Stegostoma tigrinum: one gene and its partners. The protein of the gene in region 2 interacts with the protein of the main gene of each other region in a pairwise test. Links are inferred from orthologs where the notes say so. Each region holds a gene or a part of one and is shown on either strand. Other genes may lie near its edges.

The links.
Region 1: the proteins of ube2kb (region 2) and rnf32 interact in binary tests that used the Homo sapiens proteins (3 or more experiments, as listed by UniProt). The link is inferred for Stegostoma tigrinum from reciprocal best matches to the Homo sapiens genes UBE2K and RNF32.
Region 3: the proteins of ube2kb (region 2) and rnf5 interact in binary tests that used the Homo sapiens proteins (3 or more experiments, as listed by UniProt). The link is inferred for Stegostoma tigrinum from reciprocal best matches to the Homo sapiens genes UBE2K and RNF5.
Region 4: the proteins of ube2kb (region 2) and siah1 interact in binary tests that used the Homo sapiens proteins (3 or more experiments, as listed by UniProt). The link is inferred for Stegostoma tigrinum from reciprocal best matches to the Homo sapiens genes UBE2K and SIAH1.

What each region holds. Positions count from the first base shown.
Region 1 is NC_081355.1:140,737,960-140,745,642, forward strand, and holds the start of rnf32 (RING finger protein 32), read right to left. Parts: upstream 3,021-7,683; 5' UTR 2,637-3,020; intron 1-2,636. UniProt on the Homo sapiens protein: May play a role in sperm formation.
Region 2 is NC_081354.1:98,591,536-98,598,690, forward strand, and holds the start of ube2kb (ubiquitin-conjugating enzyme E2Kb (UBC1 homolog, yeast)), read left to right. Parts: upstream 1-4,134; 5' UTR 4,135-4,241; coding exon 4,242-4,304; intron 4,305-4,347; exon of another isoform or gene 4,348-4,411; intron 4,412-7,155. UniProt on the Homo sapiens protein: Accepts ubiquitin from the E1 complex and catalyzes its covalent attachment to other proteins. In vitro, in the presence or in the absence of BRCA1-BARD1 E3 ubiquitin-protein ligase complex, catalyzes the synthesis of 'Lys-48'-linked polyubiquitin chains.
Region 3 is NC_081387.1:28,190,993-28,198,109, reverse strand, and holds the start of rnf5 (E3 ubiquitin-protein ligase RNF5), read right to left. Parts: upstream 3,020-7,117; 5' UTR 2,987-3,019; coding exon 2,835-2,986; intron 1-2,834. UniProt on the Homo sapiens protein: Membrane-bound E3 ubiquitin-protein ligase that mediates ubiquitination of target proteins. May function together with E2 ubiquitin-conjugating enzymes UBE2D1/UBCH5A and UBE2D2/UBC4.
Region 4 is NC_081369.1:29,621,454-29,629,284, forward strand, and holds the start of siah1 (E3 ubiquitin-protein ligase Siah1), read left to right. Parts: upstream 1-4,825; 5' UTR 4,826-5,255; intron 5,256-7,831. UniProt on the Homo sapiens protein: E3 ubiquitin-protein ligase that mediates ubiquitination and subsequent proteasomal degradation of target proteins.

The DNA of each region.
Region 1 (7,683 bases), on a different chromosome or scaffold from region 2:
TTCAGCCCATCGAGTTTGCTCTGCCATTCAATCATGGCTGATAAGTTTCTCAGCCCCATTCTGCCACTTTCTCCCTGTAACCCTTGATCCCTCTGACAGAACCTATCTATCTCTGTCTTAAATATACTCAATGACCTGGCCTCCGCAACCTTCTGTGGCAGTGAATTCCATAGATTCACCACTGTCTGGCTAAAGAAGTTTCTCTGGCTGAAGCAGCCAGAGTCAATGATAGCAATGAATGCACTTACCCTTCTGACATAACAATTGATGTGAAGCAGTGTCCTTGTGATTCAGAGTAAGATCAGCATTTGCCTATTTACAAGAGAGACTGAGGAGGAAATGAAGAGTTGAATTTTCCATTATCGCAGCTACCTTCCAATGCATCTTGATTTTTGGAAGGATTGCGCCACAATGTCAAGTGAGGAAGCTCGCCATAGCTTACCAAATTTGCTTTATTCATTACTTACCCTACCCTGTGACATTCCTCGTATTAAATTCCAGTTCCATCTTACCGCACAATTTTCCCAGAACAACTCACCAGTACGTGATATCCCGGAATTCATTGTACCCACACCACCTCCCAAGGCTTGTTGTGTACTGGACAAGCGCCGTCAGTTGTGAGTTGCCTCACATGGTTACTGACATTTGCCCTGTGTAATGGAACCTTTTCCACTTGCCTGGATGAACACAGCTCCAAGAACACTCAAAACGCTTGACCCCATCGGGGTCAAAGCAGCCAGTGAGGCAAATACTAAATAAAAAAATGAAAGAATTGCAGATGCTGTAAACCAGGAAATAAAACAGAAATTGCTGGAAAAGTTCAGCAGATCTGGCAGCATCTGTGAAGGTAAAAACCGAGTTAACGGTTCGGGTCTGGTGACCCTTCCTCAGAAGGCCAGTGAAGCAAGTTGAGCTGTTAACAGGGTGTTTAACAAGCAATAACAACCCTTAATTTGTAAGTCACTGGTGCTTCACAAGAAACTTCCACAAGTGTCAGAAGCGTAAAAGATAGAGTGAGAGGCCCCTGACGTTGAGATAAGCCTTCCTGTATTTCAAATCTGATTTTGCCACAGGTCTCGCCATAGTCCAAATTGCAGAGACCTCTATAGGATTCTACCTAAGGTATCAAAACTACAACAAAACTTGCTGTGTACAAAGATGCAGTAATACCCACCCTGCTATATGCCATTGAGACATGGATCACCTCCTCCAGACCAATTAAGCATTTGAACAGTTTCCACATAAGGTGCACTTGAAATGTCTTGGTCATTAAATGGCAAAAGAAAGCAACCGAGAATAGAAATGTCTGGAAATTAAGTGTTAATCATCAGGTTACAGCTCAAATTGACTGAACATACAGCACATATAATTGACAATAAAATCTCGAATATTCACACTTAAAATAGGACACCCTCTACATGGTAGGCTTATAGTAAGATTCAATAATGCCTTGATTGCAAATTTCAAGAAATGAAGCATGACTCAGTCTTGAGAAGGATTTACAATAAATAAAAACTACCTAGGGAGCAATCTCTAGTCATGGCCTTGTTTCAGATGGCAAAGAATGCATGCAGCAAACAACAATAGGCCTGTTAAAAGGACACGGTAATACCAACAAAATCAGATAACTCATCCTTGCCCATTATATGCAAAGCAATGAAAAACTGTAATTCCGCTCCACAGATATGCTGAAGGTATGCAACAGATCATTCTACACATGCAAGAAGTGGCTTTCTTTGTTAATGAAGACACTGCTTAGTGTTGGCATTAGGGTGTTAGTGATGGAGTGTATGTGTTGGGTTAGTTTGTTATTATTGGGTGTAAGTGTTGTGATAGGAATGCTCATATTAAGATGTTTCTATTCAGGCGTTAATTTGGAGTTAGATTGCTACTGTTGGAGTGAAGTATCAGTGTGTGATTTTTTTTCATTCACAGGGGAGTGTTACTGTCTAGGTCAGCATTTACTGTCCACCCCTAACTGCCCAGAGAGCAGTTAAGAGTCCACCACATTGCTGTGGATCTGAAGTAACACGAAGGCAAGACCCGATAAAGCTAACAGATTTCCTTTCCTAAAGGGCATTTGGTAAGTTTTTCCTGACAATCCACATGGTTTCATGGTCATCACTAAACACTTAAATGCAGATTTTTCCACGACAGGTTTTAAAATAAAAGGACCCCAGAACATTATCTGCATCTCTGGATGGATACTCTAGTGGTAAAGCCACTCAACCTATCGCCTCCAATGTGTGTTGCTTTGGGGCAAAGTATCAGTCTGATTGTTAATATTTAGATATTAGTGCTGAAGCTGGTATTTTCGTCGCAGTGTGTTAAGGGCTGGTATTTGTTGTTACTTTTGGGACTTGACTATCTATGTTGGGATCAGGGAGTAACAAATGAAGTGTTACTTTTGAGATTAGGGTATCTGTTGTTAAGGTCAGGGTGTCGGTTTCAGGGTTAGATGGTCGGCTTTGGGGGCCTTAGTACTGCGGGGCTGAGGCTCTGGGAGATCACTTTGAAGGAGAGGCCAGTCCAGACTAGGCCACGACTGCAGCCTCCGCTGCCAGTCTCCACTTTCCGCCGGCTTATCTCTATGAAACACACACTAAATATGTAAGTAGGCTCTAAGCGATACTCACCTTCATTCCGCCAACTCGAGCAGTCGGGTCTGTAACGCGGTTTAAAATTAAAACCAAGCCAGACACAGCCCGCGATCCAAACACTTCAGAAGGAAGCGTCTGCAGTTACTTGGCAACCGAGCTCTTGGTCCAGCTCCAACGCTCAATCAAAAGAAAATCTCAGGCTTTTTAAAAACAATTTTAACATGTACTTCCATATTTTTGGAATATTGTTAATTTTACTTTTGCTTCCCACTTGGAATTCAATTCCAAAGAGTTTTGAACCAGTTTTACAGGAGCCTGCTGTCCCCTCGATGCTGTATTCTGCAGTTCAGGTGAATGAAATGAATTTTTATCGTTTTTTTTCGAAACTGTTCTTTAGAGAGAGAGATTGAATTATGACTTCAACCTCCAGAATCCCGTTGCTAAGTAACTGCTGCCACTTGCAGCAATCCCCCTGGTAGCTGTGTGTATTCGGTTTTCTTTTGTTTTAATTTTAAAAGAAGTCAAGAGACCTTGCAGCTCAGCCTTTCTTACCAAGTTGAGTTTGAGACCCATCTGGCGAAATAAGAAACGTCTCGGTGTAACTTCAAATGCAGAGGTTTTATTTCGAATCTGGAGATCTGCAATGGTGCACACAAATTTCTCATTTAAATACATCAGCTAAAACAAACTAAATAAGAGTGTTTAAAAAATTGAAAGAGCTGCGAATGCTGGAAATCAGAACAAAAATATAAATAGCTGGAAAAACTCAGCAGATTTGGCAGCATCTATGGAGAGAAATCAGGTTTCAGGTCCAGTGACCCTTCTTCAGAACTGATAGTAGCTCCGAAACAGTTGATTTTACAGCAGAAGACAGGTTGGGGGGAGTGGGTATGGAGTAAACGAAGGTGGAGATAGAGCCCAAAGCAAAAGAATAACAGTTGGACAGACAAAGGAGTGGATATAATGGTCAGTCTAGGAGAATGAATGACTGATATTAGTGTCTAATAATGAGTTGTGTGTAATAGCCAACTGTGATAACAAGGCCTGGTGTGTGAGGGGAGAGGTAAAGACATTGGAAGAAGTTGCTCCAGCCCTTAAGTTTTTGAATTCAATACAGATCCCAGAAGGCTGTACAATTCCCAAGCAGAAAATGAGGTGCTGTTCTTCCAGCTTGCACTGAGCTTCACTGGAGCACTGCAGCAAGCCAGAGGCAGAGATGTTGGTCAGAGAAGAAGGTGCTGTGTTGAAGCGGCAGGCAATGGGATGCTCAGGGTCTTTTTTACAGGTGTTCTGGGAAGTGGTCACCCAGGCTATGATTCATTTCCCCAGTGTGGAGGAAACCACATTGTGGGAGTGACAGCAGCTGTATCTCCACCTATTGTTTACTTCTTACCCCCTCCCACTACCATCTCTTCTGTATAAATAACAACTATTTCCTACCTACCGTCAGTCCTGAAGAATGGTCACTGGACCCAAAACATTAACTCTGATTTCAGTGCACAGATGCTGCCAGACCTTCTCAGTTTTTCCAGTGATTCCTGGTGTTGTAAATAAAAGCAAAGACTATGGGTGCTGGAAATCTGAAACTGAAAAATACAGAAAGTCCTGGAGAAAGTCAACAGGTCCAGCAGTTTCTGTGGAGAGAAAAAGAAATAATGTTTCCAGTCAAAAAGAAAAATAACAAAGTAAAGCATGCAAATAAGGCATACTAGTCCGACATGTCCTGCAGACCTCACAGCAGTGATCCATTACAACCAGTGCGTTCATTTGCAAGTGTTACTTGTTCTCCCCTCCTTGGGTGGGCGAATCTGGACCCTGCACTTTGGGAGGACCCGCACCAGGACCAAATGTGGACCTGGAAGCCTATCTTCACGGAATGGAAGGAAAAACTGGAGAGTTGCAGTGGCTGGGGGCCCACAAATTGATTTGCCTTGAACTGGCATTCCCCAAGAAACTTTTTGGGCATTCAACAATGCAGTATTTCTTCATTACTGCAGTAAAGCTGTCAGTTTTAGATTCCAGGCCTGGAATAAGACTTTTGACTACAATATTAAAGTGCTACCATTTTACGCACAGCCAAAACACTGTGTGACTTAGAGGTCACGATGTTTCCATGATAAAGTAGGTCTTGTCCTGAATGTTCATGTTTGCACTGGAGTAGGTGATGTTAGAGTAACCATGGGAGAGTTATTGCAGTGCATCTTGATGGTGATGGATAGAAAAGCTTCAATTTACTGATTTTGGAAGGGTGAATGCTAGCGCTAGTGGCAGGAGCACTGATCGAGTGTATTATATTCCAGATAATATTTCGATTTCTGAATGATTTTGCTGCTGCATCAACCTAAGTGAAAATGCTATCACATGCCTGACTGGACCCACGTATGTGGAGAAGAGGTTCTGAGATGTCAGGAGTTGAGATTTTCATCATAGATGAGTGAGCCTTGGCCCTTGTCTTTGAGCCTTGATGTTGATATATCTGATCCAGTTCAGCTCCTTTACAATCATGACGCCCAAATTTTGGATGGTGTTTTTGATAGCGCTAGTACCAGTGTTGGTCATAGAGACATAGCTTGACGTTCATTTTCTCAAGATCCTCTTTACCTGTCACTTATGTGTTGTGAATGATAGCTTCCACTTGTCAGCCCAGCGTGAGACTATTCCAATGCTCACCTAATGGGTCTCCATTTCCCACCTTCACAAAGTTGAGGTCATCCATTATTTGGATTTGTCATTTCTTACAGCTGGATTTTCTTTTGGCCACTAACCCTGCCCATTTATTTTACCTTTTAACAGGCACTGATACCTGCTTACTTATCAGCATTGATGATTGTGTTGAATTGCATCAAGAATCAGCACCCGGCCCCTTCCTTTTCCAGACATGAATGTTCTTACGGAGTGAGCCAAGAAGTGTAACGGTCAATGATGTTTGTAGATGACAGTGATTTCAATGCAGCAAGACCTGGACAATATTCAGATTTGGGCTGACAAGCGGCAAGCAACATTCCTGCCTCACAAGTGTCACACAATGAGCATCTCCACCAGGAGATAATATAACTTATATATAGATAGAACAATACAGCGCAGAACAGGCCCTTCAGCCCTGGATGTTGCACCGACCTGTGAGCTAATCTAAGACCATCCCCCTACACTATCCCATCAGCATCCGTATGCTTCTCCAAGGACTGTTTAAATGCCCCTAATGTGGCTGAGTTAACTACGTTGGCAGGCAGGGCGTTCCATGCCCTGACCACGCTCTCAGTAAAGAACCTGCCTCTGACATCTGTCTTAAATCTATCACCCCTCAATTTGTAGCTATGCCCCCTCGTACAAGCTGATGTCATCATCCTCCGAAAAAGATTCTCACTGTCCACCCTATCTAATCCTCTGAACATCTTGTATGTCTCTATTAAATCCCCTCTCAGCCTTCTTCTCTCCAATGAGAACAGACCCAAGTCCCTCAGCATTTCTTCATAGGGCCTGCGCTCCAGACCAGGCAACATCCTGGTAAATCTCCTCTGCACCTTTTCCAATGCTTCCATATCCTTCCTGTAATGGGATGACCAGAACTGCACGCAATATTCCAAGTGAGGCCGCACTAGAGTTTTGTACAGTTGCAGTATGACATCACGGCTCTGAAACTCAACCCCTCTGCCTTTGACATAAAGTGGCACCACCGTCACAAGATTACCCCACTGATACCATCCTGGATGTGACCATTGACCAGAAGCTGAACTAGACTTTTGTGTAAATACTGTGGCAACAAGAGCAGGTCAGAGGCAATGAATCCTGCAGTGAGTAGCTCACCTCCTGACTCCCCAAAGCCCGGTCACAAACCACAGTCAGAAGTTAGGTGTGGGATGGAATGATTGAAATAGTTACATTGATATAGAAGGCATCTTTTAAAGACAGGTGAATGTTATTTTGTTTTTCTTTTTGTCAGGAGCGAAGAATTAATTGTGATGCAGATGTACACCCAAAATGCTACATTTATGGCTGTACTGCAGTCAAATGCTGTTAGAATACGCTCGATGAAGCTCGAACATTTTAAGTTGAAAAGTGTGATCATTTTGAAACAGAAGCAGAAGCCATAACTTTGGTGATTTGCCTGGAAAGAATGGAATTTTCTTTATTAAAATGTGGTACTGTGGACAATTGCTAATAAGGAGGAGAATTGCGAAGCAAAGGTATCAGACACCTGTAGAAATTTGCCCTCAGAACCCACCAAAATGGGGAAATATTAATTTGACAGTTGCTGTCAAACACTACATTTACCTGTTCAAACGGGAACATCCTGAGGCAATACAAAAGGTTACTACATGTAAAATTAGTGAGAAGCATAGAACTGAAACCAAAAGATCAACTGTAAGTGATGTTTATAGTTGAAAGGGAAATGACTGGCAGTTGAACAAAGTGGTCAGGCTTCAAAGAGAAAGTACTATTCTAAATATGAGCATATAGATCCAGCATTGTGTACGTGATTCAGTAATCTTAGTGCTTACAATGCAAGGGTCAATCATGACAAGTTCATTACCAAAGCAAAATTGTTTGATGATGACTTGGGTAATAATGACTTTGTAGACTCATGTGCAGTTTTAAAAAATGATAATTCATTGGCTTTACAGTGATAAAAGGAGATGTGACAGAGTGTAAAGTTGACACTTGGACAAAGCAAACTAATAGGGTGTTTCACCAACTTTGCAACCAAAGATATTTGTTATTTTCACAACTGTTACCATTATGTAATCTTTGAAGAATGTTGAACTTTGTATCTTAAACTTTGAATCTCCTAAGTGCATGTCATACAACGGCTATGTGATCTGAGTGATATCATTATTAGGAATGTGTATCGCTGCTACAAGTTTAAGATAGTGCCTTAGATATTCTTTCGTTTATATTGGTTGTAGTTCCCTTACATTGAAAGGTATTGTTCGTATTGCTGACCATTCAACAATGCAATAGATGAGAACCAAAAAAAGCTCATCTATGGGAAGTTGCCTTTTTGAGTCACTGCAGTCAGTGTACTGCAGGTAGACCTAATGCTGCCATCCAGATATGGGCTGGGGACTGCTGCTAGGTCTACGTG
Region 2 (7,155 bases):
AAATAAGGCAGTGACGTCAAACGATATCACGGTCTCTTTGACATCCATCCTTATGTCTTTGATGGAGTTGAGGAATTCTTGGGCTGAGTGGATAGAGTGGGGTGACTTGTTGACTAGGTACCTGAATCTCCTTTGTAGTTCCTTGGCTAATCTATGTCATGGAGTGCCTGGTAGGGAGACTATGGGTCTGAGGGGTACTTCTGGCTTGTGCACTTTAGGGAGGCCGTAGAATTGGGGTGTGTTGGTTCCTTTGGGTTTCATTCTTGAGCAGTCTGCTATGTTGATCTGTCGTGTTTGTTTAAGTCTTTTTAGTGTGTAGAGGATTTTGTTGCCTAGTTGCAGTGTTGGGTCAGTTTGTACCGGCCAGTATGTATTCTCATTGGTGAGCAGTGCATGTGCCTTGGAGATGTAGTCCCTTTTTTTCAGTATCACTGTCATGTGCCCTTTGTCTGTGGGTAGTATTGTCATGTTCTTGTCCTTCTTTAATCCTTCCAGGGCCTGTCCTTCCCGTGTGTTGACTATTGAACACAGGGCAACAACACACTGCAGCAACACGGAACTTTGCCAAGAGGAAGAAGAATACCTCTTCCAGGTTTTCAAGGATAATGGATATCCAAAAAACTGGGTCAGAAGATGCCTACATGAACAACATCAGAAAGATACTACACACCCTGACACACTCATCACACTACCCTACATCAGGAATACGTCAGAACTCACCACAAGACTCTTATGACCGCTGGTCATCACAGTGGCACACAAGCCCATGTCAACCTTTCGACAACTGCTCACCTGAACTAAAGACCCACTCCCGCCATGGACAGGACCAACGACATCTACAAGATCCTCTGCAGTGACTTTGAGAAACAGAACATCGGAAAAACAGGAAGGAAACTAACAACAAGAGTACATGAACACCAACTGGCTACAAAATGATGTGACCAGTACTCACTCATCTCAATCTACATGGACAAGGAGAGCAGAGATAATGGGAACTGCAGATGCAGGAGAATCCAAGATAACAAAGTGTGAAGCTGGATGAACACAGCAGGCCAAGCAGCATCTCAGGAACACAAAACCTGATGTTTCGGGCCTAGACCCTTCATCAGAGAGGGGAATGGGGAGAGGGTTCTGAAATAAATAGGGAGAGAGGGGGAGGCGGACCAAAGATGGATAGAGGAGAAGATAGGTGGAGAGGAGTGTATAGGTGGGGAGGGGATAGGTCAGTCTGGGGAGGACGGACAGGTCAAGGGGGCGCGATGAAGTTGGTAGGTGGGAAATGGAGGTGCGGCTTGAGGTGGGAGGAGGGGATAGGTGAGAGGAAGAACAGGTTAGGGAGGCGGGGACGAGCTGGGCTGGTTTTGGGATGCAGTGGGGGAGGGGGAGATTTTGAAGCTGGTGAAGTCCACATTGATACCATTGGGCTGCAGGGTTCCCAAGCAGAATATGAGTTGCTGTTCCTGCAACCTTCGGGTGGCATCATTGTGGCATTGCAGGAGGCCCATGATGGACATGTCGTCTGAGGAATGGGAGGGGGAGTTAAAATGGTTTGCGACTGGGAGGTGCAGTTGTTTATTGCGAACCGAGTGGAGGTGTTCTTCAAAGCGGTCCCCAAGCATCCGCTTGGTTTCCCCAATGTAGAGGAGGCCACACTGGGTACAGTAGACTACATTGGCAGATGTGCAGGTGAACATCTGCTTAATGTGGAAAATCATCTTGAGGCCTGGGATGGGGGTGAGGGAAGAGGTGTGGAGGCAAGTGTAGCACTTCCTGTGATTGCAGGGGAAGGTGCCGGGTGTGGTGGGGTTGGAGGGGAGTACGGAGCGGACAAGGGAGTCATGGAGACAGTGGTCTCTCTGGAAGGCAGACAAGGGTGGGGATGGAAAAATGTCTTGGGTGGTGGGGTCGGATTGTAGATGGCGGAAGTGTCGGAGGATGATGCATTGCATCCGGAGGTTGGTGGGGTGGTACGTGAGGACGAGGGGTTTCTCTTAGGGCCGTTATTGTGGGGGCGGGGCGTGAGGGATGTGTTGCAGGAAATGCGGGAGACACGGTCAAGAGCGGTTTCAACCACTGCGGGGGGTGTAGGTTGAGGTCCTCGAAGAACGCGGACATCTGGGATATGCGGGAGTGGAATCCTGGGAGCAGATCCGGCAGAGGCGAAGGAATTGGGAATAGGGGATGGAATTTTTGCAGGGGGCTGGGTGGGAGGAGGTGTATTCTAGGTAGCTGTGGGAGTCGGTGGGCTTGAAGCAGACATCAGTTTCTGGCTGGTTGCCTGAGATGGAGACAGAGAGGTCCAGGAAGGAGAGCCACCATTTCAACTGGGACAATACCAAAATCCTGGGACAAGCTAGGCAGAGACAGGCACAAGAATTCCTAGAAGCCTGGCACTCCAGAAAGCAAGCAATTAATAAACATATTGAACTCAACCCCATATACATTTCACTATGAAGGAAAACCGGAAGTGAGGCAATCCATCTCAATGGACCCCAGAGTTTAAACACCGATGCTTCATCTGAGGCTGCACTGAGGATGTTACCCAGCATGGTAACGAAAGACTGCGAAACAAGAAATCAGCTCAGCAAGCCAACCAACCTCAAAAAACTTTAACTTTTATGGAAGGATTATCCCTTGCCATAAACATTTTAAAACTAATACAATTATGATCACTAGACTCAAGTGTTCCCCCAGAATCATCTCAGACACTTGCCCTGCCTAATTACCCAAGGAGTCAAAGATAATGGAAACTGCAGATGCTGGAGAATTCCAAGATAATAAAATGTGAGGCTGGATGAACACAGCAGGCCAAGCAGCTGCTCCTGAGATGCTGCTTGGCCTGCTGTGTTCATCCAGCCTCACATTTTATTACCCAAGGAGTCAAGTTTTGTTCCTTCTCTAGTAGGAACATTTACATATTGATAAAGAAAATTTTATTGAACACATTTAACAAATTCTTCACCATCCAAACCTTTAATACTATGGTAGTCCCAATCAATGCTTGGAAAGTTAAAATCCCCTCTTATTACAACCTTTTTATTCTGAGATCTCTCTACATACTTTTTCCTCAATTTCCTTCTGGCTATTGAGTGGCCCAAAATATAAACACATCACGGTGATCATTCCTTTCTTATTCCTAATTTCAATCCATATACTTTCACTGGATGAATTTTTGGAAATATTTTCTCTCGATACAGCACTAATGCTTTCCTCAATCAAAAACACCCCACACCCCACTCTATCCTACCTACAACATTGAGCTGCCAGTCCTGTCCTTCCCTCAATCAATTTTCTGCAATAGCAATGATGTCTCAACCCCATGTACCCAAACATGCCAAGCTCATCAGCCTTGTATTGAAATAAATGCAGTTTAATACTTCAGAGCTCCTTCTTTGTCTGACTTGTTCTTGCCTGTCTCTTCTAATTAGCTTGCTCTTTTCAGATTCATAACCATCCTTATGTATCTATTTACAATGCTACCTCTTTAATAGTTCGCAGTCTTCCTTAATAGAACTAGCACACCTCCCTGCCAGGATAACAAGGCGTAGAGCTGGATGAACATAGCAGGCCAAGCAGCATCTCAGGAGCAGGAAGGCTGACGTTTCGGGCCGAGACCCTTCTTCATTTCTGAACTCCACACCTGGAGAATTCAACAGCCAATTAAACTGAGTTTACAATCCAGAATGTGGGGAACATTAAAGAACATTACTTTCGAGCAGAGAATCATAAACAAACTACTTTCTGTTCACAAACGCCCTTGAAATAAGAGTGAGGCTTGGGGTTTGGGTGGATGCAAAGATGGACGTTAAGCAATGCATTACCCCAGCCCCCACCCCCTAAACATACGTAACATATCCTCCTTAGTGAGCCGCAATAACACACCAACAAGTCGGGGAAATCAGTGGGTGAGTATTATGACAGGTAGACCTTGCAGGGGATGTCATTTGACGCGGGTAAGGGATGAGGTTTGACCCTGTCCAGGTGTACACGGATCAGTAGCACGGAAGGCCTAAGTGTACTGAATGAAGATTACAGCCGAGCGGGCCCATATCGCTCCAACGTTCGCCAGTCAGCGACTGAGCCGCGAGCCCGTCACCGCCAGCCGCTCGCGCTTCTCGCCGACCCCATTCGCCCGACGGAGCTGTTGGAGTGCGCCTGCGCGGAAGCGCCGCCATTTTGGCCGTGCTGATAGTCTGATGTTGTAAGGAAGGCTGAGCCGAGGCCGAGCAGCGCGTCGCGAAATGGCCAATATCGCAGTGCAGCGAATTAAACGAGAGTTTAAGGAGGTCTTGAAGAGCGAAGAGGTAAGAGTTGCTCCCAACCTCACCTACGCTAATCTGTTCATACCTTCTTGGTTGACTGGCTGCGGACGGGAGAGGAGAGTGCGGGGAGTTTCATGGTGATGGACACGGGACCGGGTGATGGACAGGCGCCAGAGGCGGTTTCGGGAAAGTCCAGGGAGCCTTTGCGGGGCTTACTATAAGTCACTTTTTTAAAAGCTGCTGCAAATCTGCCGTTTATCAATGTCATAGCAATGGCGTGGTTGATGTGAAGCTCTTCAAATGCCGGATTTTTGGGAGGTCCGGGTGGTACCTTGAGCACTCAGGTTGTTGCTAAGCTTGTAGGCGTGTGACATTTTTCCACCACCATGCGAGACATCCACCTCCACATTAATTTTGTATACGGCTGAGTTCGTGGTGGAAGGAATTGAGATGAACGGTTTATTTCATGTTATTGCTAAGGTTTAGTCTAATGCTTTTCTTTGTTTAGAAACCGTATTGGTATCGGATGACATCGTCTCGTTAGGTGATATCTGGTTTCCACAATTGACATTTGGTTATTTTGCTGTGTTAACATGTTTTTCATTTCAGATATGCATTTACTTCACCACATCAGTTTTCTTTTAAACAAAAGGGAACGCAGGAATTTAGATCCGTGATTACGTTAAGCTAAACGACTATATAAAGTTTATCATAGTTATGAATTTAAATCTGCTTTAGACGTATTAAGTTGGTCAAAAATTAGTTATCTGCATATGGTTAGGCTCCAACTGACAATTTCTTTCCGAAGATTACAATTTTTTTTATCAGGTGTTGGTCAGTTTTATCATCTTGGAGTACTAATGCTAACTGTAGAACCTTACATAGTTTTCTGAAAGAATTCTACTTTTGAGCAATGTGCTCAGTCCCTACCTACTTTGAAAAGTTTTTGCAAATACCTTTTAATGTAGGTAGTAGATATGGGATTGCTTACATTAAAATTACATTAAAATACAACTCAGTTGTATTAAGTGTTTTGAACTATTTCTTCAAGGGTGTAATTGCATATTATTGATAACTGCAGATGTTTGATCAGTTATATGTTTACAAATAAAACATGTGACAGTTATGTTGTTCACTAGGATTTTATTTGATTTGTTTTCAGTATCTTCCTTATGATCTGATTGGGCCTCCGGCATGAGTGTGTCGCTGGTAAGGCCAAATTGCCTGGTCCAAATTGCCCTTAAAGATGGTAGGGTGCTGCCTGAGAATCCACGAATCATTCAATACTGAAGAGGCCCTTTGTGCCATCTAATCTGCCCTGCTGAAAATACACTACTATATACACTAGTCCTATTTTCCCATGCTAGGTCTATAGCCTTGAAGGTTATGAGCTCTTGAAGTGCCATCTAAGTACTTTTTTAAAGCTTGTGAAGTTTCCTACCTCACCAAACCCACCATGCAGTGTATTCCAGACTCTCACCATCTGTCTAGATGAAAAAGGTTTTCCTCAAATTCCCTCTAAACTTGTATTTTACTTTTAAAATTATGCCCCTTTTGTTATTGATTCTTTGATTAGCAGGAACAGCTGATTTTTCGTCGCCATGTCCATGCCCTTCATAATTTTACACACCTCCACTAGGTTTCATCTCAATTTCTGTGCTCAGAAGAAAACAACACCAGGTTATCCAACTTCTCTGCATAGCTGCAGTGCTTCATCCCTGGCAACATCCTGGTGAATCTTCTCTGCAGCCCCTCCAGTGTTATTACATCCTTTCTATAGTGTGGTGACTAGAACTGCATGCAGTATTCCAGGTGTGGCTTAACCAAGCTTCTGTAAAGCTTTAACATGATATCCCTGTTCTTATAATCATTGTCATGACTGGTGGACGCAAGTGTCCCATGTGCCTTTTAACTGTCCTGTTAATCTGTCCATCAGGGATCTGAGGACAAGCGCGCCAAAAATTCTCTCTCTTATTCTGAGCTTTATTGTGTCCTGCCATTCATTGGGTACTTGTTCCTTGTTCCTTCTTCCAAAGTACATCACCTCATGTTTGTTACTGTTAAATTCCATCTGTCACCGATCTGTCCATCTGACCAATCCATATCCTTCTGTCACCTAACACCTTCCTCCTCACAGTCAAACACCTAGATAATCTTTGTGCCATCTTCAAACCTACCCTATCAACCCCATTTTTGAATATCAAAAACAATAGGGTCCCAGTGCTGATCCTCATGGGATGCTACTGTACACTGGACTTCATTTACATAAACAACTTTCTATCAACACCAATTGGCTCTTGAGCTGCTACAGTTCATATGGTGTAGGTTCACCCATGATGACAGAAGCAGTTCCAGGATCTTGACCCAGCAACAATAGACACATATTGCCATTCTAAGTCAAAGTAGTGTGTGGCAGGGAGGATCTTGCTGGTGGTGTTCAACGCATCTGCGACCCTTATCCTCCTAGGTAGTAGAGGTTGCATGAATGGAAGTTGAAGGTCTTGTGGTGGTGGTTGGCATACACATTCTAAGTGTAATGCTACATCATCACTGTGCGTCAGTAGTGGGAAAATGGATATAAAGTAAGGGGGTTGCTTTGTCCTAGATTGTGTTGAGCTGCTTTTTAACTGTTTTGGATTTGCATTTGTCCAGGACAAAGCAGAGCTTTCCATCACCCTCCTCACTAATTCCTTGTTGGTGGAAAAGCTTTGGGCAGTCAAATTTTCAGTCACTTGTAGAATTCTGATCTGTTTTTATAATCGGTGTCTGATTGTTGGTCCCTGCCAGAATGTTGATGGCAGGAGTTTAGAAATGGCAATGCCATAAAACCCCAATAAGAAATGGCTAGATTCTGTTTGGAAATAATAATTGTCTAGCATTTGTAACACAAATG
Region 3 (7,117 bases), on a different chromosome or scaffold from region 2:
TCTCTTACCATTGCTAGCAGGGAAGGCGTGTCATCAGTAGGGTGGCACAGGGGTTAGCACTGCTGCCTGACAGTGCCAGGGACCCAGGTTCCACTGTGTGCGGAGTTTGCATATTCTCCCCGTGTCTGTGGGGGTTTCCTCCGGGTGCTCCGGTTTCCTACCACAGTCCAAAGATGTGCAGGTTAGGGTGGATTGGCCGTGCGAAATTGCCTGTAGTGTTCAGTGAGGTGTAGATTAGGTGGGTTATAGGGGGATGGGTCTGGGTGGGATGCTCTGAGGTTCGTTGTGGGCTTGTTGGGCCGAAGGGTCTGTTTCCACCCTGTACGGATTCTATGATTAACAATAGTGTGATTACTTAACAACAACCTGATTGCAGGAAAGCTGACTCTGCCAGCAGGGGCCAAACTGCAAACAGAAGTATGTATGTAAGAGGGAGAGGCAGGGGGTGTGGAGAAGAGCGAGGGAGACAGAAACCCTAAATGGAAAGTGACCAAGAAGACATGATGAGCAATTGAGAGGAAACCTCTATACCCAGACAGTAATGAAAATGTGCAAAGTCCTGCTGGGAGGGTCAAACTGATGAGCGCAGGAGCAGAGGGCCCTGGTGTGTACGTGCAGAGATTGTTAAAGTGGGAGGTCAGGGGAAGAGACGAGTTACAGCGGTAAGCTGATCATTAACAAGGGCCTCAGTTGGCTGTCCCACATCACCAGGAAGATGTGAATACATCAGAGACAGAACAAAAACAATTTACAACAATAGTTCCAGGGATGGGTAACATCAGCGATGAGGACAGGTTGGGGAAGTTGGGGCTGCTCTCTTTGGGAGATCTGACAGAAATCCCCAAGTGGGGTCTGGACAGGGTGGAGTGGTAGAAGTTGCTGAGAACAGCACAGTGTGGTGGGTGATGCTCCCCACTGGATCTATCACATTAGAGGTGCCCCCAAACCTGCACAGACTCCGACACCGGTTCCTGAGGGCCCTGCAAGACCCAGGCACCCTGTTACCAGCCAAGCACAGTACCCACCACCCCCGCCACCCTCCAACCCCACGGCTCGGGCACGGTCGCCCCACCTCCAACCCCATGTTCCGGACAAAATGCCCCCCAACCCCATGTCCCAGACAAACTGTCATCTCTCAGACGTCTCCACAACCCAAGTCACCCCTCCCCCCACTGAGATCCAGACAAACCCCTCCCCCAGACTCCACCCCCCCCGACCCATTGCCACCCTGCCGCCCGCCCCCCCCACCCAACCCCCGCCCCCGCCCACACAGCCCCCGGACGCCGCCCGCCGCCACCCAACCCCCGCCCACACAGCCCCCGGACGCCGCCCGCCCCCCCCGCCCAGCCCCCAGACCTCTCCGCCCCCCGCCCCCCACCCACACAGCCCCCAGACCCCTGCCGCCCCCCACCCACACAACCCTGCCGCCCCCCCACCCACACAGCCCCCACGCCCCTGCCGCCCCCCCCCCGCCCCCACCCACACAGCCCCACACGCCCCTTGCCGCCCCCCCCGCCCCCCCACCCACACAGCCCCCACGCCCCTGCCGCCCCCGCCCACCCACCCACACAGCCCCCACGCCCCTCCCACGCCTCTGCCCCCCCGCCCCCCACCCACACAGCCCCCACGCCCCTGCCGCCCCCGCCCACCCACCCACACAGCCCCCACGCCCCTCCCACGCCTCTGCCCCCCCGCCCCCCACCACACAGCCCCCACGCCCCTGCCGCCCCCGCCCACCCACCACACAGCCCCCACGCCCCTCCCACGCCCCTGCCGCCCCCGCCCCACCCACCCACACAGCCCCCACGCCCCTCCCACGCCTCTGCCCCCCCGCCCCCCACCCACACAGCACCCACGCCTCTGCCCCCCCGCCCCCCACCCACACAGCCCCCACGCCCTCTGCCCCCCCGCCCCCCACCCACACAGCCCCCACGCCCCTGCCGCCCCCGCCCACCCACCCACACAGCCCCACGCCCCTGCCGCCCCCCGCCCACCCACCCACACAGCCCCACGCCCCTGCCGCCCCCGCCCACCCACCCACACAGCCCCCACGCCCCTCCCGCCCCCGCCCACCCACCCCACACAGCCCCCACGCCCCTCCCACGCCACAGCCCCCCCGCCCCCCACCCACACGCCCCCCACCCCGCCACCAGCCCCCCGCCCCCCACCCACACGCCCCCCCACCCCGCCACAGCCCCCCCGCCCCCCACCCACACGCCCCCCACCCCGCCACAGCCCCCCCGCCCCCCACCCACAGCCCCCCCCGCCCCCCACCCACACGCCCCCACCCCCCCACAGACCCCTGCCACCCCCCCGCCCCCCACCCCCCCACAGACCCCTGCCACCCCCCCGCCCCCCACCCCCCACAGACCCCCGCCACCCCGCCGCAGACCCCCGCCGCCACCCCGCCCCCCGCCGCCCCCCCGCAGACCCCGCCGCCACCCCCGCCCCCCGCCGCCCCCCCGCAGACCCCGCCGCCCCCCCGCCCCCCCCCCGCAGGCCCCCGCCACCCCCCACCCCGCCCCCACCCCCCCACCCCCCCCGCCCCCCCCCCACCCCCACCCCCCCCACCCCCCACCCCCCACCCCCACCCCCCACCCCCCACAGACCCCTGCCACCCCCCCCACCCCCCACAGACCCCTGCCACCCCCCCCGCCCCCCACAGACCCCTGCCACCCCCCCGCCCCCCACCCACACAGCCCCCTGCCACCCCCCGCCCCCCACCCACACAGCCCCCTGCCACCCCCCCGCCCCCCACCCACACAGCCCCCTGCCACCCCCCCGCCCCCCACCCACACAGCCCCAGACCCCTGTCCTCCCCCCCTCTCTCTGACCAGTATAAATGGCCGCAGAGGCTGATGACCGCGTCCCTGGCGGTGTCCAGGCAGATGTTACACTCGAAGCTGCCCTTGTCGGCCTGGGCCTGCCCCGGCCGCTCCTCTCCCGCCGCCGCCGCCCTCTCGCTGCCCTCAGCCGCGGCCGCCATGACTGAACAAACACCACACTACCGCAGGTCCCGCCCCCTTCCTAACGGCCCGCCTTCTTAGGGGCGGACCCAGCGCGGACAGCGGTATTTATTGGGCTGGTCTGCCGTCGATCACTGGCTCTGGGCGGGAGCTGCCGCGGGATGCACGGTTCCCATTGGACATATTGTCGTCAATCAACGTTCGTTTCAAACACGCGGCCAATATCGATGTATGACTGGATCATATTCCAGTCAATCAGGTCTCGGGAGGCGGGGAAAGGTAGTTACGGGCTCCCATTGGATATCGCTACGGTCATGGTGTGCGCCAGGACCGGGTCACACCTCGACTATGAGCTCCCTTCAACAGGCTGCTGTCAATCATCGTCTGATTAATCTACATGGCCGTTATTCGCCATCTGATTCGGCTACACCGCCGTCAATCAGCCAGGCGGAAGCGGTTGTCGCTAGACCCCGGCTCCCATTGGATGGTATACCGCCCCGGGGCGGGTCACCGATAGACGTCGGCTCCAAATTGACTTAAACGTCGTCAATCAACAAACCCCGACTCCCATTGGACCAAGCCCCGTCGGTCACTATCTTATTGGTCAATGTAGCCGTCCATCACCTTCCGCCCTCTTATTTTTCTTCTTGCCATTGGTTGGGATTGTTGTCGATCGTAGCTCTCGGTGAATGATTGGTTGGAATTCTGACGGCAGCGGGAAGGACACCGGTCGGCGATCCGCCCAGCTCCCAGGTTCCGGGACTGAGGTAACACGGTGTGGAGCTGGGTGAACCCAGCAGCAGCAGCAGCAGCATCATCCTCCGACACTTCCGCCATTTACAATCCAACCCCACCACCCAAGACATTTTTCCATCCCCACCCCTGTCTGTTTTCCGGAGAGACCACTCTCTCCGTGACTCCCTTGTTTGCTCCACACTGCCCTCCAACCCCACGACACCCGGCACCTTCCCCTGCAACTGCAGGAAACGCTACACTTGCCCCCACACCTCCTCCCTCACCCCTATCCCAGGCCCCAAGATGACTTTCCATATTAAGCAGAGGTTCACCTGCACATCTGCCAATGTGGTATACTGCATCCACTGTACCCGGTGTGGCTACCTCTACATTGGGGAAACCAAGCGGAGGCTTGGGGACCGCTTTGCAGAACACCTCCGCTCAGTTTGCAACAAACAACTGCACCTCCCAGTCGCAAACCATTTCCACTCCCCCCCCCCATTCTTTAGATGACATGTCCAACATGGGCCTCCTGCACTGCCACAATGATGCCACCCGAAGGTTGCAGGAACAGCAACTCATATTCCGCCTGGGAACCCTGCAGCCACATGGTATCAATGTGGACTTCACCAGCTTCAAAATCTCCCCTTCTCCTACTGCATCCCTACACCAGCCCAGTTCGTCCCCTCCCCCCACTGCACCACACAACCAGCCCAGCTCTTCCCCTCCACCCACTGCATCCCAAAACCAGTCCAACCTGTCTCTGCCTCCCTAACCTGTCTCTTCCTCTCACCCATCCCTTCCTCCCACCCCAAGCCGCACTTCCATCTCCTAAGTACTAACCTCATCCCACCTCCTTGACCTGTCCGTCTTCCCTGGACTGACCTATCACCTCCCCACCTATACTCTCCTCTCCACCTATCTTCTTTTCTCTCCATCTTCGGTCCGCCTCCCCCTCTCTCCCTATTTATTCTAGAACCCTCACCCCATGCCCCTTTTCTGATGAAGGGTCTAGGCCCGAAACGTCAGCTTTTGTGCTCCTGAGATGCTGCTTTGCCTGCTGTGTTCATCCAGCTTCACACTTTATTATCTTGGATTCTCCAGGATCTGCAGTTCCCATTATTACAGGCCAAGCAGCATCTCAGGAGCACAATAGCTGACGTTTTGGGGCTAGACCCTTCATTAGAGAGGGGGATGGGGAGAGGATTCTGGAATAAATAGGGAGAGAGGGGGAGGCGGACTGAAGATGGATGGAGGAGAAGATAGGTGGAGAGGAGAGTATAGGTGGTGAGGTGATAGGTCAGTCCGGGGAGGATGGACAGGTCAAGGAGGCGGGATGAGATTGGTAGGTGGGAAATGGAGGTGGGAGGAGGGGATAGGTGAGAGGAAGAACAGGTTAGGGAGGCGGGGATGAGCTGTGCTGGTTGTGTGATGCAGTGGGGGGAGGGGAGATTTTGAAGCTGGTGAAGTCCACATTGATACCATTGGGCTGCAGGGTTCCCAAGCGGAATATGAGTTGCTGTTCCTGCAACCTTCGGGTGGCATCATTGTGGCACTGTAGGAAGCCCAGGATGGACATTTTGTCTAAAGAATGGGAGGGGGAGTTGAAATGGTTCGCGACTGGGAGGTGCAATTGTTTATTGCGAACCGAGTGGAGGTGTTCTGCAAAGCGGTCCCCAAGCCTCCGCTTGGTTTCCTCAATGTAGAGGAAGCCACACCGGGTACAGTGGATACAGTATACCACATTGGCAGATGTGCAGGTGAACATCACTTCCACATCAAGCAGAGGTATCTGATGTGGCTTCCTCGACATTGGGGAAACCAAGCGGAGGCTTGAGGACCACTCTGCAGAACACCTCCGCTCAGTTCGCAATAAACAACTGCACCTCCCAGTCACGAACTATTTTAACTCCCCCTCCCATTCTCTAGATGACATGTCCATCATGGGCCTCCTGCAGTGCCACCATGATGCCACCCGAAGGTTGCAGGAACAGCAACTCATATTCCGCCTGGGAACCCTGCAGCCCAATGGTGTCAATGTGGACTTCACCAGCTTCAAAATCTCCCCTTCCCCTACTGCATCCCTAAACCAGCCCAGCTCGTCCCCTCCCCCCACTGCACCACACAACCAGCCCAGCTCTTCCCCCCCACCCACTGCATCCCTAAACCAGCCCAGTTCATCCCCTCCCCCCACTGCACCACACAACCAGCCCAGCTCTTCCCCCCCACCCACTGCATCCCAAAACCAGTCCAGCCTGTCTCTGCCTCCCTAACCGGTTCTTCCTGTCACCCATCCCTTCCTCCCACCCCGAACCGCACCCCCATCTACCTACTAACCTCATCCCACCTCCTTGACCTGTCCGTCTTCCCTGGACTGACCTATCCCCTCCCTACCTCCCCACTTATACTCTCCTCTCCACCTATCTTCTTTACTCTCCATCTTCGGTCCACCTCCCCCTCTCTCCCTATTTATTCCAGAACCCTCTCCCCATCCCTCTCTCTGATGAAGGGTCTAGGCCCGAAACGTCAGCTTTTGTGCTCCTGAGATGCTGCTTGTCCTGCTGTGTTCATCCAGCTCCACACCGTGTTATCTTGGAATCTCCAGCATCTGCAGTTCCCATTATCTCCGGGGGCTGAGGGCGTGCGGGTACTGGTCTGACTGATTGGACACAGGCCCCGTCAGTCATAAATGCCCTCCAATCCGTGTGCGGAGAGGCGGGGCTCGTGTGCGGTGTAAATCGAATGGATGGAATCGCTGTCAATCGCGAAAGAGAAAAGGGTGATTGGACGGCAACGGGGGGTTTGGGGCGGGACGAACGGATGACGGCAAGGGGCTGGTCTACAACAACAACTGAGGTTCACAATACAACAAGCTTTATTTCCATGTCACCTTTCTCTTGCAGCGTCCCGGGAGAAGATGGGCTTCACCGGTTGTTGTTGTTGCAAGCCTGTAATTGCCCTTGATTTGCAGAGGTAGGGTATTTAACAGCATAGAAACAGGCCCTTCAGCCCATTTAGCCAGTACCAGCCATCCAACATCCATTTGTTCTAACCCCATTTAACCATACTAGCCCTGAGATATTTTCTAATGATCTTGTTCATGGATGTTTTGACACATGTTTGGAACAACCGGTTCTCCAGGAACATTACTGCAGTGCCACAAGTGTTCTGCTGGAGCCATTTGGCCCATCCCCTTATGTGCTGTGCTGTTCACCTGAATACTTATTCAATGCCCCTCCTCTCTCTCCCTCAAATGCAATATGTTCCAGATCCCCCACCAGCCTCTGGGGGAAAACATTCTTCCTCAGATCCCCACTAAGCCTCCCACTCCTTACAACAGTGCTTCTTGGTTACTGACGCATCTACTGAGGGGGAACACTACTCCCTAATCCACTCTATCAATGTTCCTCAGAACT
Region 4 (7,831 bases), on a different chromosome or scaffold from region 2:
GGCGAGAGATATCACAAAGTCTTGTGGAGTGAAACCTTTTGTGAAAAGGAACAAAACTCACCCAGGCAAAAAATATAAGATTCAGCCTGTCTTCTTATATTTAGAGGAAGGATAATGGGAAGGCCCAGTAGGTTTACTTAGAGATTATATAGAAATCTATAGAGATACACCCAAGGATAACACAGTGTGGAGCCGGAGGAACACAGCAGGCAAGGAAGCATTAAAGGAGCAGGAAAGTTATATTTTGGGTTGGGACCCTTCTTCAGAAATGGGGGAGGGGGAAGGGAGTTCAGAAATAAACACAGAAGGAGGAGTGGGGCTAGGAAAGGCAGGTGGGGTGGTGACAGGTGAGTGTAGGTAGGGCTTGGTGGGGATTGGTCAGTGAGGTAGGAGGAGCGGATAGGTGGGAAAGAAAATGGACAGGCTGCATCAGGTCAAGGAGGCAGGGATGAGGGTGAGAGTTGGTCATGGGATGAGGCCGGGGGTGGGGAAATTTTCAAATGGTACAGTCCGCGTTTAGGCCATTGGGCTGTAGGCTCCCAAGGTGGAATATGAAGTGCTGCTCCTCCAGTTTCCGGGTAGCATCAGTGAGACACTGGAGGAGGCCCAGGATGGACCTGTCACCAGGGAATGGGGGAAGGTGGGAGTTGAAATGGTTCATGACCAGAAGGTGTTGTCGTTTGTCATGAACAGAATGCAGGTGCCCTTCAAAGCGGTCTCCGAGCCTCCGCGTGGCCTCGCTGATGTACAGAAAGCCACATCAGGAGTAGCAGATGCAATAGATCACATTGACGGATATTCAGGTGAACATCTGTCTGATGTAAAAGGTTTGTTGATGCCTTGAATGCAGGTGAGGGGGGAGGTGTAGGGGCAGGTGTAGCACTTCCTGCGGTCGTAGAGAAAGATGCCAGGGGTGGTGGAGCTAGTGGGGAGTGTGGAGCAAATGAGAGAGTCATGGAGAGAGTGGTCCTGACAAAAGGCAGAGGGGGGTGGGGAGGGAAATATTTCTTTGGTTGTGGGGTCAGACTGTAGGTGGCGGAAGTGGCAGAGAATGAGACATTGGATACCGAGGTTAGTGGGGTGATATGTGAGGACAATGGGGTTTTTGTCTTTGTATTTGTTGGGGAGAGGGAATGTGAGGGCAGTGGTGCAGGAAACGCAAGAGTTGCAGTCGACAGCATTTTCAACCACCGACCAGGTAAGTTGCAGTCCTTGAAATAAAAAGACATCTGGGATCTTCAGGAGTGGAACACCCCATCTTGGGAGCAGACGCGGCGGAGACCCAATTCCTTCCAACCCTCCCTCTCATTCCACCTCCTTGACCTGACACGACCTGTCCATCTTCTCTCCCACCTATCCGCTCCTCCCACCTCACTGACCAATCCCCATCACTCCCTACCTGCACTCACCTATCACCATCTCACCTACCTTCCCCAGCCCTACTCCTCCTCTCTCTATTTATTTGAGCTCCCTTCCCCCTCCCCCATTTCTGAAGATGGGTCCTGGCCCAAAACGTCAACTTTCCTGCTCCTCTGTTGCTGCCTATCCTGCTGTATTCCTCCAGCTCCACACTGTGTTATCTCTGACTCCAGCATCGGCTATCCTTCCTACCTCCGAGTGAGATACACCCAGACAGGTGACGCTAGTTAAGGATGATGTGGACACTTTATTGGGAGACACTGGTCTCATGGTATTGTTCCTAGGCTAGTAGTCCAGAGGGCCCCAGACTAATGCCCTGACAACATGGGTTCAAACCTCACTATGGAAGATAAAACATCTGAATGCAATAAAAACTGTCATGAAAAACCTGTCTGGTTCACTAATGCCCTTTGATGCAGGAAATCTGACATCCCATAGCAATGTGGTTGGTTCTTAACTGTACTCTGAGCAATAAATACTGTAACAGCCAACATCCCATGAACAAATACAAAAATAAAATTCAGTACTAATAAAACAATAGACCAAATTTTCAGAGAACTGGCAATCACTTGTAGATTGCCACTTTGGCCCTTCTTTAGTGAAAAAACAATTTCACATTTCTGAGAGGAGATTCTAATCAGGACTCCTTCTGAAATGCAGACCTGTTCTTCTATTCCCGCCCCTGCCACAACCGCCCCCAGAGGATCCCCCTCGTTCTCACATACCACCCCACCAACCTCCGGATACAACGCATCATCCTCCAACACTTCCGCCATCTACAATCCGACCCCAACACCCAAGCTATTTTTCCATCCCCACCCTTGTCTGCCTTCTGGAGAGGCCACTCTCTCCACGACTCCCTTGTCCGCTCCACACTCCCCTCCAACCCCACCACACCCAGCACCTTCCCCTGCAAACGCAGGAAGTGCTACACTTGCCCCCACACCTCCTCCCTCACCCCTATCCCAGGCCCCAAGATGACCTTCAATGTCAAGCAGAGGTTCACCTGCATATCTGCCAATGTGGTATATTGTATTCATTGTACCTGGTGTGGCTTCCTCTACATTGGGGAAACCAAGCGGAGGCTTGGGGACCGCGTTGCAGAACACCTCCGCTCGGTTCGCAACAAACAACTGCACTTCCCAGTCGCGAACCATTTTAACTCCCCCTCCCATTCCTCAGACAACATGTCCAACATGGGCCTCCTGCAGTGCCACAATGATGCCACCTGAAGGTTGCAAGAACAGCAACTCATATTCCGCTTGGGAACCCTGCAGCCCAATGGTATCAATGTGGACTTCACCAGCTTCAAAATCTCCCCTTCCCCCACTGCATCCCAAAACCAGCCCAGTTCTTCCTCTCCCCCCACTGCATCCCAAAGCCAGCCCAGCTCGTCCCCTCCCCCCACTGCATCCCAAAACCAGCCCAGCCTGTCTTCGCTTCCCTAACCTGTTCTTCCTCTCACCCATCCCTTCCTCCCACCTCAAGCCGCACCTCCATTTCCTACCTACCACCTCATCCCGCCTCCTTGACCTGTCCATCTTCCCTGGACTGACCTATCCCCTCCCTACCTCCTCACCTATACCCTCCTCTCTACGTATCTTCTTTACTCTCCATCTTCAGTCCGCCTGCCCCTCTCTCCCTATTTATTCCAGTTCCCTCTACCCATCCCCCTCTCTAATGAAGGGTCTAGGCCCGAAACGTCAGCTAGTGTGCTCCTGAGACGCTGTTTGGCCTGCTGTGTTCATCCAGCTCCACACTTTGTTATCTTGGATTCTCCAGCATCTGCAGTTCCCATTATCACTGTACTTTTATTCTGTCAGTTCTTCTGTGCTGCAAAACTGTCACAGGAAGGAAATCCATGCTCCCTTTTCCTACCAGCCAGCTGCTGCATTCTGAGATTTAAAGGTCCAGACAGTGACTTTGGAAGCTGCTGTTAAATAGTGAATACATCAGATTAGAATAGGGTTATGGTGCTGGGAGTCAATGGTGACAGATAGGTAGGGGTTTAGAATGCTAGTATGCCAGACAGGAATGGTGCCACAAAAGTAGAATGGTAGAATGCCAGTTGTGGAATGGTGGAATGCCAGCGATTAGGGTGCCAGATAGTTAGTGGTGGGTTCCAATGCTTCAGGTAAATAGGATGGATCAGATGCCTGCTAGGAAGAGGTGGGATATTAGATGGGAAGGGGTTGGATGCTTGAGTTCGGTTGCCAGATGAGTAGGTGTTAGGTTGGCAGGCAGGTAGATTGTTGGGTATATGAAGCGCCTGCTGGGTAGGGAAGATGCCTAGCAGTAAGATGTCAGATGCATACGGATGGAGTGCAAGGTGCATAGGGTGCTAGCTGGGGAAATGGTACAGTGACACACATAAAATGCCTGAGCGGGATGGACTGTGGATGAGGAGGGGTAAGCTGCAAGGTAAGTAGGGTGCCAAGTGGGAACATGTCTGGAATTTGGCCAGGGGGCCAGGTCAGTGCTACAGTCTCGAGGGTACGGTGAGGAGGGTGGATGTCAGTTCTGGTGGGTTCAGGTCCAATGGCAGAATCTCCCTGCGTAACTCCCGTCTACGATGAAAATACAATTCTTTGGCCATCAGAAAAGCTGGCCTAACACCCTTTTGATTAAGCCCAGAAAAGCTTCTTAAAAGGGGTAGAAATTAAAATATAAAGAGTTACAAGTTGGTAATTTTTTTGCCATCAGTTAAAGACAATTTGTTTGCAAAATCTAAACGTTTTCTTGTTAAGTAGTTAGTTAAATGTAAAGTTATGGTTAAATACCAGTTTTAATCCTTTGTATTTCCCTCATCCCAACTTTCCCTGAAAATGGGTGACATGGCTGGTTTAGTGGTTAGCAGTGCTGCTTCATAGTGGCAGAGACCCAGGTTTGATTCCACCCACAAGTGACATTGTGGAGTTTGCACATTCTCCGTCTTTGCGTAGGTTTCCTCCGGGTGCTCCAGTTCACCCTCCCGCCCCCCAAAGGTCCAAAGATGTGCAGGTTAGGTGATTAGCCGTGGGAAATATGGGGTTACAGGGATAATATGGGTACGTCTGGATGACATGCTCTTCGAATGGTAGGTATGGACTTGATGGACCAAATGGCCTACTCCACACTGTCGGGATTCTGTGGTACAATACCTTATGAGTATTTTCATTTTACTTGGGTTTGCAATCAAATTAAATGGGGACCCTGGAGAGTTTAATTAATCTTTCTGTGAAGACTCCGGCAGAAGTGAGGTTTGATTTCCAATGCACTGCATTAGCGTGCCATAAAAACTATTTATTATATGTTACTATTAAATTTTGCCCGACATGGTAATCCTAGCTTTGACCAATCTTATCGTCCATGTATGTTCTGGTCCCTCCCATAATGTGGTGTTTTACTCAGTGATGTGTACCTCGGTGACAACAAGGTTGGTCTCAGCTCCTTCAGCACTTCCATCACTGACACGCCAGTTCACAGTCTTGGTCGTTGTCGTCACCGTCTGTGGACCAGGCTCGCGCGGGCTCTGGCTATTGCCGCTGATTGGCCCACCCACTGGAATAATTAGGCGCGCTGCGCAAGGGCAGGTGAGCGCGTTGTGGGGAGCTCGAGCGCGGCCGTTTGGTGCCGCCGCGCGGGAGCAGGAGGCGGGTGGTGGAGGCTGACAGTGGCGGGGGGGGGGGGGGAAAGAAAAGAGAAAGGAGCCGCTGGCCCACCTCGCGTCTGGAGTCGGCAGCGGGTCAGCCTTTGATCCATCTGTCCAGAGAGAGCAGGAGAGTGGGCAAGGAGTGCGACGCACACAATAAGCAGCGACGTATCTGGGTGCGACTCGAGTTTGCATTTTAACGCCGGTGAGTACAGTCAGAAATCGGACCTTTTAAAGTCGCCATAAGGCAGTGAGGTGGGAATCGAGAAGGGGAAGCTCTCTGTTCGCTGGGGAGGGCCATTGCGGCCAGAGTTAGTGCCGATGTTGCATGACTAGGGCAAGCCAGTCCGCCCTCCTGCTGCTTTGTCGTGTTTTATTCGGAAGGCTTAGGGCTCCTGGCCTTTGGCGGAGGCTGCAGTGGGAGCGGATTGTGTTGATTGTTTGTGCGGGAGAGGCCGCCGGCATGGCGAGATTTTAGTAGGCCGCGGCCCTCTGCTCGCTCTCCTACTCGCTATTGTTAGAAATGGCTGGGCTGTCCAGTTCGCTGGCGTTTTAATTTATTATTTACTCATTCCGACCTCGCATTGTTTAGAGCTACCCCTGCGAATGTGTCTCCTAACGCAGTTTTCTGAACGATCGCCAAGTCTTTGCGTTTCCGATCTGGTTACTTCCACCGTATTCTCTCAGCAGCTTTTATTTTTAGTTATTGTTTGTAGTAACACAGCGGGAAGGTAAACAAAAATGTTGGTTCTGGATTGTGATCCAGTACGTTTAGTCTTCTGTTATGTTTGATGCAATGGAAATGTGTGCAGGAGGGGGAAACTCCAACCACTGCGTCTTTGTTCCATGTTGACAATCGCTTTGCTGATAATATAATTTGCCACCGATCACGAGGTCTCAATCTGGTACAGTAGCTTCTGAAGCTATTCTCCAGTTAATTCGTGTGAATCTTTTCGTAGTCTGTAATAATACAGGCAGCCCCAACACTACGTATACGTTGACGTCTTTTAGATGTAGCAGGTGCAAACTAGGCCTGCTATAAAAGGATTTTCCAACAATATATTTTTCTTTTCACCTTGCCCCAATTGTAACTTTTAAACGCAACGTCTGTGTCGGAGTGTTATTTGGTTGCTTAGTCACTGCTGGGATTGAAGTATCTGGAGTAACCAGGTAAAGCACTTAAACATTGAAAAATTGTGTTGTAATGTAAATGGTGGGGCAGTGGTGATAAGGAAGGAGACGATAAGGCTGGCTTAGTATTTGGAAAAGTGAAAAATTGGCCTTTTTGGTAGGAATGCCCTGTCACTAGTTTACTGAATAGGTTTTTCCCCTCATCCTTCTAGCAGAGGATTACCTTTTTGGCCTAAATAAACCATACTTTCTTGTCCACCACTTCCTTTCACGGTTTCTGCACTTGACAACTTAATGCTTATTTCTGTCAAATTAATATGGAGGAATTGGTCAGTTCAGTTGGTTGAATGGCTGGTTTGCAATGTAGAGTGACACCAACATAAGCTCAGTTCTTCCACTGGCTGGAATTGCCATGAAGGATGCTACTTTTCAACCTCTTTCCCCTTTCCTGATGTGTGGTGATCCTTGAGTTAAACCACTGAGTCATCTCAGTAGTCTGTGGTCTTGTCATCTCATGATACTGAGGCAGTCCATGTTCAAATGCAATAAGACATGCACAATAGTGTGGGGTACGGAGTTGGTGTTACTGTTGATCAGAACCTCAACTAGACTGTCTTTGTCTTTTTTAAAATAAAAAAGACTGACTACAAAAGCAGCCCAAGCTAGGAATTTGGCAATGAGGAACTCATTCCCTGACTCCAAAGCCTGCCCATCATCTACAAAGCACAATTCAGTAGCATATTGGAATACTCCCCACTTGCTCGTGGGAGTATGACTCCAACAAAGTTCAAGAAACTTAAAGCCATCCAGTACAAATCAGCTCACTTGACTTGCCAGAGAACCTTAGACCACTTCCATCTAGATAGACGGGGGCAGTAGATATGTGAGCGTACCACCTGCAAGTTCCCCATTCTGATTTGGAAACATGTCGCTCAGTCAAATCCTTAGAATTACTTCCCTCATTGACATTGTGGACCTACTTAAAGCACCTCGCCATCATCTTCTCATGGGTTTCTAGGGATGGGCAATAAATGGTGGTCGATCCATGATGACTGTCATGTGAATTTTCTTTTAAAAACAAAAACTATGGCAACTTTATCTTTTTTAGTGTTGCAAAGAAGCACCTTCTATTGTTTCAACAGGCTGAAAGATCAGGTCTGCAGTCTCTGGGCCATTTTTATACTTAAATTTATTTCCTTGTGGGATTTGGGCATTGCTGGCTGGCCAGCATTTATTGCCTGTCCCAATTTGCCCTTGGGCAACTCGGGTTCTCTGGAAGGTACTTGTCCTTTCTACGCAAGTGTAATACCTGTCTCTTTCTTTTCTCACCACTCCCCAATGTTCAAAATACTCATGGTATAGACAGTAATTTACTTGGGCATCTTGCAACCTTGTAAACTCTGTTCACTGCTCAGTATGGTTTCCTCCACTGTAAAGAGACCAAAAGCAAGTTGAATAGCAGCTTTGCTGATCACTACCTGATCATGTTTCAGGTGCCAAGTGCTACCACTTTAATTCTGTATCCCACTTTGACCTGGGATTAGACTTATCAACCTCTTTTATATAACCACGTAACATTGGTAAGACCTCCTGACTGCTCTGAATAGTTTTGGTGGCTTTTATTTAAGGAGGGATATACTTACTTGGCTG